Linked DNA regions of Drosophila melanogaster. The protein of the gene in region 1 interacts with the protein of each later gene in a pairwise test. Each region holds a gene or a part of one and is shown in the gene's direction. Other genes may lie near its edges.

Evidence for each region.
Region 2: the proteins of CG3880 (region 1) and sob interact in a two-hybrid assay, tested with the Drosophila melanogaster proteins (one large-scale study listed by BioGRID).
Region 3: the proteins of CG3880 (region 1) and CG7329 interact in a two-hybrid assay, tested with the Drosophila melanogaster proteins (one large-scale study listed by BioGRID).
Region 4: the proteins of CG3880 (region 1) and CG18301 interact in a two-hybrid assay, tested with the Drosophila melanogaster proteins (one large-scale study listed by BioGRID).

Annotation. Positions count from the first base shown.
Region 1 is NT_033778.4:24,758,731-24,763,125, forward strand, and holds CG3880 (uncharacterized protein), read left to right. Parts: upstream 1-1,933; 5' UTR 1,934-2,116; intron 2,117-2,551; 5' UTR 2,552-2,557; coding exon 2,558-3,415; intron 3,416-3,471; coding exon 3,472-3,816; 3' UTR 3,817-3,875; downstream 3,876-4,395. Other genes in the region: spz6 (spatzle 6), read left to right, coding at 1-66, 127-453, 854-1,484; CG12848 (uncharacterized protein), read right to left, coding at 3,880-4,242.
Region 2 is NT_033779.5:3,577,455-3,582,606, reverse strand, and holds sob (sister of odd and bowl), read left to right. Parts: upstream 1-1,837; 5' UTR 1,838-2,427; coding exon 2,428-3,752; intron 3,753-3,898; coding exon 3,899-4,310; 3' UTR 4,311-4,594; downstream 4,595-5,152. UniProt on the Drosophila melanogaster protein: Pair-rule protein that determines both the size and polarity of even-numbered as well as odd-numbered parasegments during embryogenesis.
Region 3 is NT_033779.5:10,635,436-10,640,262, reverse strand, and holds the start of CG7329 (uncharacterized protein), read left to right. Parts: upstream 1-1,791; 5' UTR 1,792-2,037; intron 2,038-4,827. Other genes in the region: CG31872 (uncharacterized protein), read right to left, coding at 1-317.
Region 4 is NT_033779.5:10,529,790-10,534,175, forward strand, and holds CG18301 (uncharacterized protein), read left to right. Parts: upstream 1-2,031; 5' UTR 2,032-2,062; coding exon 2,063-2,200; intron 2,201-2,545; coding exon 2,546-2,723; intron 2,724-2,779; coding exon 2,780-3,141; intron 3,142-3,196; coding exon 3,197-3,787; 3' UTR 3,788-3,858; downstream 3,859-4,386. Other genes in the region: Lip4 (lipase 4), read left to right, coding at 289-466, 525-886, 1,067-1,618.

The DNA of each region.
Region 1 (4,395 bases):
TCTAAACAAGGGTCAGATACCCAAGAATCCGCTGGGACAAAATGTACTCGGGGAGCCCTATCCCTTGTAGGTGAAAATATTTGCGTAACAAATTTCAGACATCTCTAATGTACACCTCCTCCACAGCGAACTTATTCGCAACCAAACGCTGAAGTTCCTTTCGAAAACTTTGCCCGTTCTAAAGGCCGACGATACCCTACCCAAGGTCACCCAGATCATTCGAGATGAACCCGTGGAACAGCTGGACAGCAACAACATCGACAGGCCCTATCCCGCAGGAGGTTCCACTCGCGTCCGCCGCAGCCTGCCGGAGGGCGTGGAGTCCAACGAGTACAGCTACTTCGATCCCGCCCTGGACGAGGAGGAGCAACACAAGCAAAGGGATCGGAATAACCAGCAGAGAAGGGCCGCCGAGGAGAGGAAGCCAAGGAAATTCTGCGATGGCGGTGGAGTGTAAGTTTTTAGCATGGAAACGGGGGAGTAGAGTTATTCCAATCTTAACTGCTACATAAATGAAAGATAAATATATCGTATTTCTTAAAGCACGGGAAAGGCGCGCATATAAAGCTAAAGAGGTCACCACTTAAAAATTATGAGTCATCTTTATAAAATTATAGATTCGAAGAATTATCAAGGCAAAGAACCCAAATGAGCTTGTCATTTCACTTTCCACATCATAATGTAAAGCCATACAACTAAAGAAGCTCAACACTTTAATCGACATCCATAGATATTGTAGAATAGGTTAAGAGAGGAGTACATCATGGGGTATTCAACTGCTTAGCATTTTGACGACACAACTGCGTGCAGGTCAATTAATAAAAGATTTTTAAACTTTTAACTCCACCCACAGATTTTGCACCTTATACAGGGCAATTCAGGGAGACACCGGAGGAGCAGCCCCTGCCACGCCCACTGCGGAAAGGCGCGAGGAGGTGGGTCCCATCCGGTACGAGGGTCCTCCCACTCCCTGTCCCGCCAAGGTAGAGTACGCTACTCCCGTCTTCGCTAAGAACTACCAAGGCGCCTGGCGTTATGTGGTCCAGATTCCCTATGAGGGCTACTTCACCCAGACGGTGGAGGTGACGCGTTGCATTCAGGCACGCTGTCACTACCTGGACGGCGGTTGCTTGTCGTCACCACGCTGGGTAAGCCTGTTGGTGGCGGAGATCTTCTACCCCAATGCGGAGGACACAGTGCCCACCAGCTCGACCACCACTCAGGCCCCTTCTGTGCAGGATTTCCAGGCCTACCAGCAGTACCTGCAGAAGAGGGCAGGCGTGGCTACCGCCTCCGACGGAACCTCGTCTGGAGCAGCCGGCCCCGCGGCGCAGGTGGACGCCCACTGCGATGGACACGATGAACTGGGCTGCTTCCAGGTGCGTCTCTACTACGACTGGTTCCTCATCCCCGGCTCTTGCAAGTGCTGGCGCCCGGACTACTTCGCCAAGTACGTGCGCCGGAAGTCGGTGGCCGAGTTGTGAACACTTCCTGGACAGGATTTTCGAAGGAAATCCTTAGAATAAGACTAAGTTCTAGCCTTTAGAGGAACACAACTTTGAGGTGAAAGGCTCATTCTAGTAATCCACCCGGGTGCCCCACAGCCCTATACGGATCACGCAGAGTTTGCAGTTCGTGCATCTACCAGATACAATCTTAACCTAGGCGGTTAGCTCCCTCTTTCGACTGATTAAGCCAAGAGCAGTGCATTTCTACTAATAAATACGTTTCTACCTAATCATAAGAGAGCCTCTCTATTCGGCACTTTGCTGAGACTGCGATGTGGTATTGGCCTAGCCTGTGTGTGTTAGCCTCCTGGAACTCTCTCAGCTGCGCTTGTGTTGGAAGATCCACCGAAAACCCACAGAAACCAGTCGCGCAAGTTGCGCATGCGTGCGAGACTCGGGCCCAAAACCTCGGCCGCTGATCTAGTGTGCAGTCAATATAACCAGTTGGTTGGCTTTGGGTGTTTTGGCCGGGGATCCAAGCGACCGAGCTGCATTACATACACAGAATAGTTGCAGAGTTTGCGCAGAAGCCTTGACGAACGGCCTCAAAAGGCTGCCAGACGAGCCGCGGACTCGGATTTCAGGAGCCAATTTTCCGCATAGCTTGGGTAAGTCAGCCAAATGGAGGGCCGTCTCTTTGTTTATAAACAAAATAAGCAACCAAAGTGGACTAAGGTACAGATGCAGCTGCGATAATAACATTGAGTAAACTTGGTACTTGAAGGCAAGAAACTAACAAAATCATTCATTTGCACGTCTCAGTTGAGCCCATTTAAATAAAATTGTAGAGTTTGAAATCAAGTAATTTTGTGTGGCGACTAGACGATTTTATAAAAATAAATTTGTTAAAACTGCTTGTAAATAAGTGGGAAATATCTTAGCTCAGAGATTCAGTCCTAAGGCAGCGTGCCAGATTCACACACATTCCATTTGGAGTTACCCATGCAAATGAGCTCCTATTAATATAAGTTATGCATTGGTGCCAAGCGTGGGACTATACGATTCATAATCTCATCCCACTTTCCATTTTGCGCCATCCGCAGACGAAGATGCTCCGCCAGAACAAGAATACCAGTACCAGTCTGCTGAACCTAAGCATAGGCGATGTGGGAGGCAGCCATCCACAGGGGCAGTCGCAATTTTGGGAACTGGATACGCTGCCTAAGCAGTTCGTCCTGTCCATGAAAAAGCTCTTCGACATCTTAGATGACAAGCAGACCGGATACGTGCGCTTCACGGACATCGAGAAGGGCTGGCAGGATGATGGCTCCAAGGGACTGCCACGCGGAGTTGTGGACTCACTCCGTCGGGTCACTCCCAGTAGCGGACTTCTCTCCTTCGAGCGGTTCTGCGCCGGCCTCAAGCTGTGCCTGCTCCGCAATCAGCAAAACGCTGTGGAAGACCTGAAGTTGCGGCCTCGTTCCCACGGAACTCTTGCTCCGGAGATGGAGTTCCATTCTCCTGCTCCGCCGCCAAAACCTCCACGACAGGTACCCAAGTCCCCTGCTCTGGGTAAAGACGACATTCGCCATGCCCTCCAAAACTGGCAACTGAACCTGATGGCGGACGCAGGAAAGTCAAAAACGACGCAGTCGCGGGAACAATTCGAACACCGTGGATCGGCTGACGGTGGCTCTTCCTCCACCTCTGCTTCGGCCACCGACTGGAGCCTGGCCCTTCCGGCTGTGCCCAAGAAGACCAGCAGCAAGCGCAGAGAGTCGCGGAGGCACACTCTGCAACACGGCATCGATTACAACATGCTAAAAAGACTGAAGCAATTGGAGGAGCAGCGGGAACTGCTTCTTTTCGGACTCGATGGCGTGGAGAAGGCACGCGATTGGTATATGATGCAGGTGCTCAATGTACAGGAGCAGATAAAGTATTTCGGCCGTTTAGGAACCCGATTTGTAAGTAGTCCTCTAGCTTGTAATTAATAGTTACCCCTTTCCTGATTTTCGCACAGGATCAGTGGTCTGAACTGCAGCAAGAAAGGCTAAACTTTCAACGCGCCCGCGTTTTTGAGGCCAATCGCAGCCTCCAGATTCTGGCCGACACCTGGGAGCACGGCGGCTACCCACTGCACATTAATTTGGCTGTGCCGACACCCACCGTCCCAAAACCGAGGCAGATGTCCGATCTGCTCAGTCGGGTTCGCGAGAAGCCGCCGCTTCTGTCAGACTTGTACGAGGCGCAGCACTCTCATTCCCATCCGCAGTTCCTGCGTGCCATGCCCAACTTCGTGCTCAGCCAGCCCTCGCCGGTCAGCCAATCCTCGGCCGGGCTGGGAGACGCCGACGTGGTCTACTGACGAATCAATGCTGCTGCGTACATTGTAAATAGTGTATTATTAAACAACTTGAACTATGTAAAGCTATACGGGATTGGGGTAGCGGCGCATGTACTTGTTAAGTTGCTTGTAGTTCAGGTTGCTGCCCGGTTGGACGATTCCCTGGTTCACGGTCTTCTTCGCCTCAAACTTACGGTCCATGTAGCACTTGTAGCAGTTCTGGAACTGGCTGATCTCCTTGTGGCAGTACTTCTCCACGAATTCGTTGTCTTTCAAGCAGGCGAACAGCACGCCCATCTCCTGGAGACAGGCCACATCGGATCCGGAGTCCGCCTTCCCGCTCACGGTGTTCTTCAGCCGCAGAGGCAGAATCTCCTGGAAGGGCACGTCCTTCTCGCTTTGAGGCGCTCGGCCGCGCGCGGCAAACAGGGCTCCGGGTACGCGCATCTGAAACCCCTTGGCTCTGTGAGTCCGGTCATTTCAGTCAAAAAATACGATTTTACCCACCTCGTAATTTCCACCGACTCCTGGACAACTGAACAGCTGCTTCAGATTACGTCACGAACTGGTTCCTGCTTTTGGTGGTGATTGCCAGTACGT
Region 2 (5,152 bases), on another chromosome or scaffold:
TGAGGCGGCACAGGAAACGAGCATTTAAAAGCGCGACTATCGAAATATAACGACATTAAGCCGAGGCTTTCATTTAAAGGAAGCTTGTGTCAATACCACTGAGCTTGCCTTGGAATGCGCAATCCCGATTGCAGATCTTTTGATGGCGCCGCCATTCAGGATGATCCAGGGATCCAGCAATCTCCAGCAAGAGATCATCCTCGCGACGATCATCATCATCCGTAAGCCGGCCACTAAGCGACATAATTGCTACCGTGGGACTGAGGATCTCTGGTCTCCAGACTCCAGACTCCCGGATCATTAAATGCCGCGATCCTAATGCGCTCCAATCAAACACACACGAAACGAGCGTATGACATGTTTGTGCATTATTAATCACGATAATATCTGTATAAATGGTAGAAAACTGAGAGTCCGGTCCAAATTGCAATTTAATGCAAAAATAAATTGCACTCGGTGCTGGACTGGCTCTTTCCAGCAGTTTTTTCCTGCTTATTTCGTGGCCAACCAACCGGCAGCCGGAGAGCTGGCAGCTCCCATGATTATTGGTCATTTACTTGGGCCGTTTAGCGCATTAAGTCCGAGTTCCCCCACTGGACACTCGCGTCTGGGGGCTTTGCATAAAGAATAAGGAAATAATTGACAGTTGAAAAGTCTCAGCTATGATTGCGGCTGTGATTCGAATTGTGATTGGGTTTGCTGTGCCAGCGTATTTTTGATTCTTCTGGCAGCATTCTTCTCTCGCTCTTTCGTCTGCGATTCTGCGGCGATGAGATGGCGTGCGATGAGAATCATTTCAATCAACTGGCTGCGCTTGGGGCTGAAGAAATCAACGCGTTGACTAATGGCCACAATTTGCAAGTGCTAGCAGGTTGATGCACTCGGAAAAATCTCCACTATTGCAAATGGATTTTAAGTGTAATAATTTCCAGGAAACCATCTCAAGGTGTTTCAATCTGACCGCCAATCCAAAGCCTTTTAAGATCGTTAATATTTAATAGATTAGACCATTGTTCCATATTCCTTACTAGGAACTCCACGGTTTCCTTAGATGTCTAGAAAACATCTGGCTTGTAATTCCTTATCAGGCGATCGCAATCCTTTTATGGCCGCCGATCACATTTGATTTTAGTGAATTAAGGGATGTTCGCTTAAAGTTTTCTTCCCTCTATACAATGTTTTCTTGATATAGTAATAAATTATTCGTATGAATAACTTGTAAAAATAGCTATAATATGAGATTTCTTCTTATTGGCAAGTTCATAATGTAAGCTGCATCTGTTACTTGTGCCTAAATCTATATTTAAAACCTTTAATTATCCGTCAAAATTCTTCAGTTTCCAAGGTTAAAAGTACTTAGCAAAGCTTGCGAAATTTCCTAGAAAGAATCATAAACAACTACTTGCAAAAATTATATAAATAAACGAATATTATCAGACAAGAGGGAGCTGGCACGATGGGCGAGAAAGAGATGGCACGACCAGGAGGGAAAGAGAGGGTGGGCAAAACACCCACTCAAAATCAAAATCAAAATCAGGCATATTAACCACAGAAACCGGTTCTCTCTTTCTCACCTTGCACGCGCTCTCGCTCTACCTCTGATTTAAATGCGCGTGTGTGGGTGAGAGCGGGAGTAAAGGTGCTCAGAATACACAGACAAAACGAGTTTGCACCTGGCCAACCTGAATTTCTCCCGCTCTCCGCTCGCTCTTTTCGTGGGTGATCTTGTGGGCCACGCTCTCATCCGCTCTCGCAGGGAGCGATCGCCAATGGCGAGAGAGATGTGGCGATCAACAAGTGAGCGCAGGTCCGCGATATGTCCGCAGAGCAATGGACTTTTAGTTATTCCGTGATCTTTTACCAATATTGTGTGCAGCGACGGCTGATCGACGTCAAGAGAAGAAGAAGAACTGGCAGAATCAGAGAAAATAAACAATATTATATATACGTACATATATATATACATAGCTCAACACGTGTATGTGTCTGTGTTGGCTAAGACCGGAAGTTGCATTAAACGGAAGTTAACTAATAGTAACTGCACATAATTTTAAAGATCGATTGTACCCAAATTGTTCGCGTGTGCTAGCCAGAAGAACTACCATATTATTTCAGTCGAAAAAATCGAAAAAGCGTGCCTGCCAATTTGACTTAACTTGGCTGAGACTGCACTTTGTTGTTTTCGTTTTTGGCCAGACGTCAAATTCGATTTTTATGACTTTTGAAAGCGTGACTAAGACGTGATTTATGATGGCGTGTGGTTTTTAATATTCATGTGGACGCGCTCCGAACCTCTCAACCTGCGTAGGTGCGCCAAACAATAAAAAATACAAAAAATCACCACGGCAACCAGCAACACAGCAACATCGCTGGCCCGAGGCTTTATCCCGATATCCAGCTGAGTGTGTGCGTGGATTCGACTTTTTTATGGAGGCAGTTAAGCATTTGAGTGCCGCTGCTGCTGCTGCAGCTGCAGCTGCAACTTGCAGCGATTCGCCGGCCAAGGCAGCAGCCTCACCGGCAGCAAGCAGCGATATTGCCGAGGCGCTTGGAGAACTCAAGGCAAGCGCAACAGCAGCAGCATCATCAGCTAGCAAGGCAGCAACATCGAAGCACCACAGCAACAACAACCACAAGCCAAGTGCCGCAGCAACAGCCACAGCAGCGCACAAGAAAAGCGAGAGTTGCAACAGCAACGGCAACAAGTGCACCGCTGCAACATCGCCGATCGGCAGTAAGACCAGCAACGCAGCCATGGCAGCTGCAACAGCAACGGCGGCCGCAGCAACCAACGATCTTGCAGCGGCTGCTGCGGTCGTTCTTTCGCTGCAAGGAACCATGGTCAGCAGTTTGCAGCAGGCCGCCCTACTGCCGGCCAATTCGGCGGCAGCAGCAGCTCTTAATCTCCAGGCCCTGGAATCCTATTTGGCGCTGCAGCGACTAACCGGGAAATCGGATGTATTTCGCTTTTCCAACAGCAACACCGGCAGCAGCAACAGCAACAACGCCACCACCTGCAACAGCAGCAGCAGTGAAGCGGACAACAATGCCTTACCCTCGCTCATCGATATAGCCAATATAGAGCTCAAGTCGAGCTGCTCCTCCAGCTCCTCGGGGGAACCCCCTTTGACGGCAGCGACAGCATCAGCTGCCGCCACATCCTCGCCCAGCAGCAACAACAGCAACTCCACCAGCACACCAACAACATCCAAGTGCGTGCCTCTGCCCTCCATTGGCACCGTTAGTGCTGCAGTGGCGGCTGCTGCGGCTGCCGCAGCAGCTGCTGCGAGCCAACAGGCGGCGCTGGACTGCGCAACAGCCGCAGAACTGGCAGCAGAGTGCGACTTACCGTTGCTCGATGGCGAGGATGCTCTCTCCTTCGAGGCGGGAGATTTGGACAGCAGCTATGGAAGCTTCATGTTTAATCCCTCAGCCTTCAGCCAGGCGGAAACGGACTCGGCTCTGCACTCGCTGCAGGCCACCATGTACCAGGACAAGATGAGTGTCATTTCGGGAGCGGCTGGCGGCGTAGGTGCAGGTGCGGTAGGAGGGCTGGAGGAGGCGGGCAGCTCGGCGGCGGCAGCGGCAGCCCAGCGGTCCAAGAAGCAGTTCATATGCAAATTCTGCAACCGACAGTTCACCAAGTCCTACAATCTGCTCATCCACGAAAGAACGCACACGGACGAGAGGCCTTACTCCTGCGACATCTGCGGCAAGGCCTTCAGGAGGCAGGATCATCTGAGGGATCATAGGTAGGTCAAAAATAGCGGATAAGCTACTTCATGGTATAATAAGAAATGATCCTTCTCTTGAGAATCACTCTGTCACAAAAGACTAGCATTTGGTTTCCATAAAAATCTAACCCACCATTCTCCTCATTCATTTTGGTAACCCGCAGATATATCCACTCCAAGGAGAAGCCCTTCAAGTGCGCGGAGTGCGGCAAGGGATTCTGTCAGTCCCGCACTCTGGCTGTCCACAAGATCCTGCACATGGAGGAGTCGCCGCACAAGTGCCCCGTGTGCAATCGCTCCTTCAACCAGCGTTCCAATCTGAAGACCCACCTGCTCACCCACACCGACATCAAGCCGTACAACTGCGCCTCCTGCGGGAAAGTCTTCCGGCGGAACTGCGACTTGCGACGTCACAGCCTGACGCATAACTTGTCCGCCGGAGTGGGCGGTGTGGTGGGTGGCAACCTAAGTGATCCATTTGGCTCCGGCTCCAGCTCCAGCTCGGAGTTGGGCTTGCCCACGGGCTCCGCCAGTACTGCAGCATCCTCCAGAGATTTGGTGGCCGTCAGCGATTGATCTTCCTCAGCTGATTCCTCACTCTTTGATACCCACTCAATAAAATAAAATCTCAATTGCAGCTCTCATGAATACGAATCCCTCCATTTCGTAATCGTAATCTTAGTACGACTAAACAGCATTTAGTTTAGTGTAAGTTTAGCCTTAGCTACTTTGGTTTAAGCCTTGGATATTTGTGACGTAAGCATAGCAGGAAAGTTTGACTTTGCGTAAATTAACGTTAGATATTAAGTTAAATTGTGGACTCTTAATGTACGATCGAATAAAAGACAATAGCTTAAAGGAAATTGTGCACATGGCTTTTTATTGTTGACTTGGGCTTATGGTTATAGAAAGGTTTTCTTGAGACTAAAAAGAACGTTAGTTGTATTATAATTTGAATATTCTAGAATTTTACCACGGGTATGGAGTTTGAGTTGTTTGAGTTTCCAAAGGCCTGTTGTTCATTTCAAAATTCAAGAATTTTCCAAAACGTTTTTCTCACCCTTTCTACCTTTCTACCGCTTTGATTCCACTCTTGTACTTACACTATTTACGCACTTGTAGCGAACTAAAATCAAATATTTGTACCGATGTTTATCGCTCGAGTGCCAACAAGGGCAATTAATGTAGCATTAAGGTGCACACCTTCAAACACCTCTTTCAACAAGCCTTTGACAACAAACAAAACAAGATCGACAATAGTGGGGCTAAAACAAAGAAATGCCCATATTTTCCCACCACTTCCAGGCTGTTCCACATTTCCAGTCAAATAATGTCGTACAAGCCGGTGGACAAGTGGAGCAGGCGCTATCTCATCGGGTCGAAAGGACCACCCACTAGAGTGTGATATATAGATATCG
Region 3 (4,827 bases), on another chromosome or scaffold:
CCTCGGCTAAACGATTGGGCCTGTCCTTCAGATTCAACTGAGGGCTTATAGCTTGAATTACTTTCCAAGACTATTGGTTGAGGTTTAAACACGAATCCGTAATCTTTTACAATGGATTCTCTTTGCAAGCGCACCTTTTGCTCATCTTCTGTTGAATCTGCATCGCCATTGATGTCCAATATGCTCTCAACCGCAGGAAGGATCGGGGGGCTTATAATATTGTTCAATTGATTGTTTATATCAATAATTCCCTCGCTGGGTTCCACTCGAAATATCGCCAAGAGCGCAACGAATGCGTAAAGGAATCCTAACTGCATTCTGAAACTACTTTTAGCAGCGAATCGGAAAGGAGCCTTTTATAGGCTCGCAAATGAAATGCCATGAAATTGATAACACATGGATTAAAGCGATTTTAAATGGATTATCTCTCGATGTTACATCACAAGTGGCAAATGAGTTGGGACAGCAAGATTGATGGGCTTCTTGAAAATACATTTTATTGTTACAATTCCAGGATTTGGTATTGAATAAGTGTTTTTTTTTTTGCCTTAGCTTCCCAGTTACAAACACAAGATATAGATCAAGTGTGTGGTTTGCGGATTTTTCATTTAATCGAACTTAAATAACTAATTATGTTAAGTAGAAGCTTAAGGATACACTTGATTTTTTTATTACCATCTAAAATCAAAAATAGTGAAACTGTAATTTAAAGAAGAACAATGGAGAATTTAAGGCGCTTCGGTTTGGGTAAAGTTACTGAACTTTTGACAATCTAATTGCACAAGTGCACGAGGCGCAACCGTTATTATCCTTGGTCCTTGTTTCGTCCTTGTTCCGGTGGCGTTGGCAAATTCACGCCACTCGCTTGTTTGCGCAAATTTGATTATCAAAATACCCAAGGAGAGTGCAGCCGTGGTCGGAAAAGTCGGGAAAGAAGTCGCGAAAGGAAGAAGGATAATGCCATGTCGCCGCATTAGCGCCTCTGGTGGGTCGGGTTGGGCGTGGTCGTTGTCCCGTGAAACAAGCTCGAAATTGAGTTTGCCTAGTGTCCTTGCGCCCCTTTAATACCACCCCCTCCTGTCCACCACCACTAGCCCTTTTGCCTGCTGGGCTGATTAAAGCTCCATGCCAACTTGCGGTGATTTGCTTTTTTTTTCTGGCACCATCATTTGGATGCAGTGGCGCCCTGCACAAATGGGGCATTAAGCCCTCCGATGTCGGGACCTGACATATATTAAATTTCATCTCGCCGTCAGTCGGATTCGGATGCGGAATCGGGCGCCTAATGAAGGTTAAGCAACTTTTAATGTCCCGGCCCGGGCCATTTTGCAGACCATTAAATGTTTCGCCTGGCAATATGCCATATGTTTCCAGCATGGACATAAGCCCCATGTCCGGAAAATGTTCGCTACGTTCTGCAAAAACTTTACTTATCATTTCAACGCCAAAAGCCATAAAGACGCTCGCTAAGTCTGCGTGTGTTTGTGATGACACGACGATGACAGTAATCGTAATCCTAGTCATGGTAATGATGACACTGGGGCGCTCAGCCCACAGTCATGCCATATAAGCATATGGCGGTTGGGTTCCAGGAATCAGGCTGGGCAGAGACACTTAACGGTCATGTGGAGGGCTAACGAGCGATTTCACCCTTTATGGCCAGCATTTGGATGCCATCGGTTATCGGATTCCGTCACGAGTATTTTCAATTAGTAATGTGGACTGTGGAAATCGGTTTCACTGGCGTATCGCATTGATATGATTGCTCTTTGTGTTATTAGTTAATTGTTCTGGTTGTTCAATGTATTTCCTTTGGGCTTCCCACACATGTAGTTTCACTCACCGCCAGTGTCACGCCCGATGGACACCTTCCGGAATCCCAGTCAATCGCAATTGGTGTGACTTTCGACTGCCTCAGTTGCTCCTGAACTCCTGAGTTCAATCTTCAATCGTTACCCCTTTGCACTCGAGCAGAACGCGACGCAGTCTTAAGTGGTATGAAGATTGTAACATTCGAACCTTGGTGCACTTGAACAAGTAAGATGGTTGAAATTTAACACTTTTTTTTACTTTTAGGTAAGAGATATAACTATTAGTAGATTTCCATTTTATAATTAATACCACTAGAGCTAATCTCTGGGGATTTAAAAATTACATTCTAAACAGTTTCATCCAGGAAAGCATGTTCTGAATTGATGCTTGTGAGATTTTCTTTTTCTGAGTGTATTTTTTGCCTGGTTATGTGAGCGTTTTCCATGTTCACACAAGTACAGCCCCCCCCCCCCTTTGCCGGCGGCACACCCCTCAGTAATTTCATGCTCCATTGGCCAACGAAATCGCCACACAATCAAAGGAAAAGCTTCGCCCTTTTCGTCAAGACATGAAGTTATACAACCATCGAGGTGAATGCTAAGAATTTGGCCCACATTGTGGCACTTCGAGAGTTCGCTGAAATATATATATATATATAGTATTTAAATTCACAGGCCCAATTTATGCACTTCTAAGTTTTTGAAACGAGACTCGTACATTCATTTCGGCCAGCCAACGCAACTTTCGATTGGCGTTTGTCCAGGGTCCTTGTAGCGATATTTATGCAGTTTTTCCATGGAACAAGGGAATACTATCTCCAGCTGTCGCTGTTGTTGTTCTTGTCACTGCATTCATGGCCACTTCTTTCCGCTCGCCATTTCTTTTGGGCTTTCTCCGCTCCGCTCCGCACTGGTCCACTTCACTCCACTCCATTTTTATTTATTTTCCCCGACTTTTGTATTTCTGTTTGCATTTTTTTTAAACACGTTTCTTTTTTGTGCTGCTGTCGGGCGCCCCAACACGAGAAGTCCATTTCGAAATTTATGTACACACAAATTGAAAGCGTTGGAAGGGACTGAGAGCCGAAATGAAGGAAAGAAAAGTGTTTTGGTGCTGGCGGAAAAACCGTTGGCTGCATTTCTCGAATTGCAGTTTCGGTGCAAAAAGAATTCGGGGCAGAAAAATACAAACGATATGCCTTTAAGTGACACTTGCCAGGAGGTTTTGTATTCCCGATGGGTGGAGTCCTTTTTGGTGGAGCGGACCGATAGTCCAAAACCGTCGACAAAACGTTTGGATTGTTGATTTTGGAGCGGGGAAAAGGCGAGAGATAAACTCAATTGAAAAGAGATCAGATAATGCTTCGACCACTGGGAAAATGTTTAAATAAAATTATCTAAATCCTTTCGCAAAGGGAGCAGTAAAGGAGGAGTGAAAATAAAGTATGTACTTTCCGCAATATTTATTGCTCTTAAATGTGAGGTGGATCGCTTGACATTTTAAGACATTGTTGGGTTCTTATATTTCCTAGCTATTTCTCCCATTAAGTACGCAAATATGCGTGTCAAATCGAGTCATAAAATTCCGTTCCACCCATTTAACCATTGAATACTAAACCATATCACACCAAAACAGTTTTAAATTCAGCAAGAGAAGGCACTCCTGCTTTAAGCTCATTCAGGCTAAAACAATAAACAAGCCGCGTAGTTTATTGCCCTCTGAACTTCTGGCCAGAGCGAAAAGTTCACCTCGTTTATAAGTCGGCATTGGCAGTTGCGATTGCTCTTGGCATAAATTAGATGCGGCAGCGGCTTTTGAAAATAGGTTGCCATGTGTGCGGCACCCGGCTTCTGTTTCCAAGTTGCCAGCTCCCACAGTTTCCATTTCCAAGTTCCTGGCTCCTACCGGTGGAGGATCACTGTGCTGCCCGAGGCGTGTCTTTGTTTTGGCGGCGGTGTCATCCCGGTTTAACCTGGACTGAAATTAACCCAGCTGAGCCCACGAAGCTGCGACCCGTTTCCTGTCAGTCTCTCTGTCCATCGGACTGACTGACTGACTGCATTTGCATTTGCATTTCAATGCCCTGCCCTTTTTAAATAGCGAAGCTTTACTGCGAACAAAATAGTGTACTTTGAATAGTAAGAAAAAACTGCTGTAAACTTTAAGATACATCTTATATGTTGCCACTTAAAGTTTCAAGATTCAAAGAATAAAATATTGCATCGTACATTAAAGTCAAGAATATGAAGTGAAGTTGTCTACAAATGGGTTCAAATAATTTTTAATTTTTTTCCAGTGCTCTTAGAGTATCCCTAATTCTAAACTCAATTATCGCTGAATGCGCGACTGGCAACATTGTCTTGTGCATGCTAATTTCATTACAATGCAGCTAAAGGGTCCTTGCCCAGCCGCAGGACCCAGCTCAATACCCAATGAATTATGATGGACGTTGTCATGAGTGTGGTTCACTCACACACACACACACATGTGCAAGCCGCCTATGTGTGTTGGCCATGTTTATCTCTCTGGCCAACGTATACTTAGCACATTTGTCGGGAAGTAAGGGAGAATATGGAAAACCCGGAGATGTGGGCGGTCGGTTTGGGGCTGGTCAATGAGCGTTTGGCATACACGCTATCAGTAGATTGCTGGCTAGGCGTTTTTAGCCGACACGCCCCAACGAAAAATGGAGGAAAGGGCTTAAAGAAGGACTGATGGCGAAATGAAGTGCTTAACGCCAGGCTACTCACTATAACGCGGAAATTGCACTGGAAATAAAATGCATATCTTTAAAATATTAACGATATATAGTCAGGAAATTCTTTTTTCTATTCAAAATTCTTTTGGTCGAGGCACATAAAATTCTTCTAAATGTACATAGGATTTATGTACCATAAATTCAGTTCACACTCACACTCCAGTTGCAGTGTAGAGCTTAGCGTTGTGGTTGAGAACCCTTTGGCTGCGCCACTTCATTATAAACATTTCTCAATTGATTATCGTTAGTTTTCCATG
Region 4 (4,386 bases), on another chromosome or scaffold:
AAAGATCTAGTAGTAATAGTACATATTTGCTGCTAAAATGTGTTAATGTATACGTTTAAAAGTTAGTCAGATGTTGTCATCGCTTTATTTTTACGATATTACGTTTGTATAGGAAGCTTTTTGATTTTCGTACCTCTCCCTAATAATTAAGAAAAGTAATTACATTATTGAAAATTGACATATCAATTTAATCGTTAAATTAACGATTACGCTGATAGAAACTTACACTTAGAAAATTTGTTGTTCTTAGTACAATTGTAATAACCTCGTCTCTTTTCCCTTCTGCAGTACAGTCTGATAAAAAAGTACGGCTACCCGGCGGAGAATCACACCTTGGAGACGGATGATGGATACATCCTCACCTTGCACAGGATCGCTAGACCGGGAGCAACGCCAGTGCTTCTGGTGCACGGACTACTGGATAGCTCAGCCACTTGGGTGATGATGGGACCGAACAAGGGACTTGGTAAGATCATAGGCTATCTCCAAATGTCCCATGCTGATTGCGTTGCTCTGTTCCAAAGGTTACCTGCTCTACGATCAGGGGTACGATGTCTGGATGGCCAATGTTCGTGGCAATACGTACTCGAGAAAGCATGTTAAGTATAGCACCCACCATGCCAAGTTCTGGGACTTTACATTCCACGAGATGGGAAAGCATGATATACCCGCCACAATGGACTACATCCTCAATTCCACGGGCGTAAGCCAATTGCACTACATTGGTCACTCCCAGGGAACCGTTGTGTTCTGGATCATGGCCAGCGAGAAGCCCGAGTATATGGACAAGATCATTCTGATGCAGGGATTGGCACCGGTGGCATTCCTCAAGCACTGCCGCAGTCCGGTGGTCAACTTCCTGGCCGAGTGGCATCTATCGGTGAGCGTAAGTTACCCCATCCTAATTATCCCATCCTTTCAAAGAGCGTTTTTGCAGTGGAATACATCCAAATTTAATGTAAATTTAATCATTGTTTATTATAAACACGATCCAGTGCAAAACATCTTTCTCCTTCTCTTCTCATTCAATTTGTTCATGTTAACTTATATTATTTTAATATTTTAGTTGGTCCTCAAGCTGATTGGCGTTCACGAGTTTTTGCCTAAGAATGAGTTCATCAGCATGTTCAACCGGATCATCTGCGACGAGACCACTATTACGAAAGAGATTTGTTCAAACGTCATCTTCCTGACCACCGGATTCGACAAGCTCCAGCTGAACGAGACTATGCTGCCGGTAATCGTGGGTCATTCTCCGGCCGGAGCCTCCACCAAGCAGATGCAGCATTTTGGACAGCTCAACAGATCTGGCGGTTTCCGGCAGTATGATCACGGATGGCTCAGAAACCACTGGATCTACGGAACCATTGACCCGCCATCCTACCACCTGGAGAATGTTCGGGCCAAGGTGGCACTATATTATGGCCAAAACGATTGGCTGGCTCCGCCGGAGGATGTGGAAATGCTGAACCGCAAGCTGCCCAATGTCGTGGAGAAATATCTGGTGGACGACAAGGAGTTCAACCACTTGGATTTCATTTGGGGCATCGATGCCCGGGAACTTTTGTGGGATCGAATGCTGGAAATAATGCGAAATCATGAGAATTCAATTATCTAAAGGGGAATAGAACTATGGTTATAATTTAGTTATTCACAGTATATTATTATTAGTTAGGTATTTATTGTTTAGTAGAAACTAAGACGATTTACAACAATTTTACAACGATAAAAGCCAATAAAAACAACTTACAATTAATACATTTTTAATATTAATTCCCATCTTTTCTATTCCTATTTTTTGATATGAAAATTAGTATATATCTTTTAATTCGATTTTGCTAAGCAACAAACTTTTTGCTTAAGTTACATGAATGATATTTATTTCCGAAAGTATTTAAGTTGAGACCCAAGCGGTAAATGTAAATTTTATTCATAGGTTAAAGTGTTGCACTTTTATTGCCTACGTACAATCTTTTTTAGTATCCCAAAATTTTACTTGCTTCAGTTTCCACTTGGAACTTGTATACATCGGATTAGTAAAGTTTGTCTCTAATAAAGTCAGATGTCTCTATCATCGTCTTCGAAATTTCTTATATGGACCTTCTTTTTGGGCCTATTCCAGCTGGAAGCCAATGCATTTTTCAATCCTTTTCAACTGGCTATACCTTCATCAGTTTTAGAAGATGCACACTTGAATACGGTAAGTTCAAAAATCATTCGGGTTCCAACGATTAGTAACATTTGGAATAAAGCATAGGAAGTTTATCCAGATCTAAAAATCTAGATTAATATAGTGCATTATATTTCGACTTATAAAACATCTGTAGATATAGACACAATTTGTGTGAGTGTAAGTACATATATAGCTTTCTAGGTTATAGCTCTTACTATAAAGGTCGGATTACTCGCTGATTGGTCATAGTTTTATAATCTCATGTATTCTAAATACTACGTACACTCAATACTACGTACACTCAAAGTATTTAAGGGCAAATCTCTAGCGAATAGTTATATTAAGCCGTGTTTGTTTCTCCTGTTTTTGCAGATACAATTGATTTCCAAATATGGATACCCGGCGGAGAATTACACAGTGCAGAGTGACGATGGCTACTTATTGGGACTCTTCAGGATCGCACGTCCTGGAGCCCTGCCTGTGCTGCTGGTCCACGGACTAATGGACAGTTCCGATACCTGGGTGATGATGGGTCCTTCCAGTTCCTTAGGTACAATCGAATTTCATTCGTTTTTTAAGTGCACTCAGAATGATTTTCTTCCAAAGGATACATGTTGTACGAGCAGGGCTACGACGTCTGGATGGCCAATGTGCGGGGTAATACCTATACGAAACGCCATGTTCGTTACTCCGCCGAAGACTCCGATTTCTGGAACTTTTCGTTCCATGAGATGGGCATTTTCGATCTGCCTGCCATCATTGATTACATACTGATGCAATCTGGATTCGGTCAGTTGCACTACATTGGTCACTCCCAGGGATCAACTATCTTCTGGATTTTGGCCAGCGAAAGACCAGAGTACATGGAAAAGATCGTTATGATGCAGGCATTGGCTCCAGTGGCCTTCCTGTCCCATTGCCGTAGTCCCATTGTGAATTTGTTGGCCTCTCAGGATACTGCAGTTGCCGTACGTTTAAGATTTGTTTACACTTTTATACATTTTAACTAATATCTGGTTTTAGTCCTTCCTAAGCGCGGCTGGCTACAATGAGTTCCTGCCCAGCAACAGTGTGATTGATCAGTTCAAGCGTTATGCCTGCCGGGATATCATTTCCAGCAGTGTCTGTCAGAGTCTCTTCTTTATTCTTTTCGGTTTCAATGGCCAGCAAGTGAACCAAACGATGTTGCCGATCGTAGTGGGTCACACTCCGGCCGGTGCATCCATCAGGCAGATGCACCACTACGGCCAGCTGAGGAACTCTGGGAAATTCCAGCAGTTTGACTACGGACTGTTGAACTTCCTGCATTATGGCAGCCTGTCCCCACCGCCTTATGAACTGGAGAAAGTCAAGGCCAAGGTGGCAATCTATTATGCCAAAAACGATTGGATAGCTCCGCCGGAAGATGTGGACATGCTTTTCAACAGGTTGCCCAATGTGGTGGAAAAGTATCTCGTTCCGAATGAAAACTTTAACCACTTCGATCTGGTCTGGGGCAGAGATGCAAAGAGAATTCTGTGGAATCGAATGCTTGGAGTTATGCAATCAGTTGTTCCATACTCCTCCTACAATGATGGCGATAGTATCACAACTGTATTTGTAAATCGATTCTAATCAATGTTTTCAAATGTAAATGAAAGGAATTTTACAAAAACTATCAAATAAAAGCATTCGTCTTTGTATCTAAACAGTATTTACTCATTTTATTTATAAAGAATGTTTATCAGCAGTTGCAGAAGACAACAAGTTATACCGATATGATTATAACAAATATATTCAATAAACGTATTTGCATAAAATTTATTATATATTCAATAATTTTTTTTATTCACAATTTCTTTACCCGGTTGAATAATAAAAATAGTTATCGGCTATAAAGTCACTTCCATTGGATTTAATTTAATAGCCTCACATTTATTTATTTGAACTGCCTTAATCGCATAATTTAGGAGCGTGTTAGCTAAATAATTATTTTCGCTTGGAAACCGGTTTCGTTCAAACTTTATTAGCTTCAAATTCTATGACTGTTAACAATTATATGTGATTTATCAGTTTACCAATGCGCTCTATTCAGCTTTCACATCAATTTTACACGACCTTATCCAACTGTCAAGCTGTTGTTATATCCACTTCCATTTCCACACACACACACACACACACACACACCGTGCTGGGAAAACTCGTTTAATATATTCGAAACAATGAGAGATTGC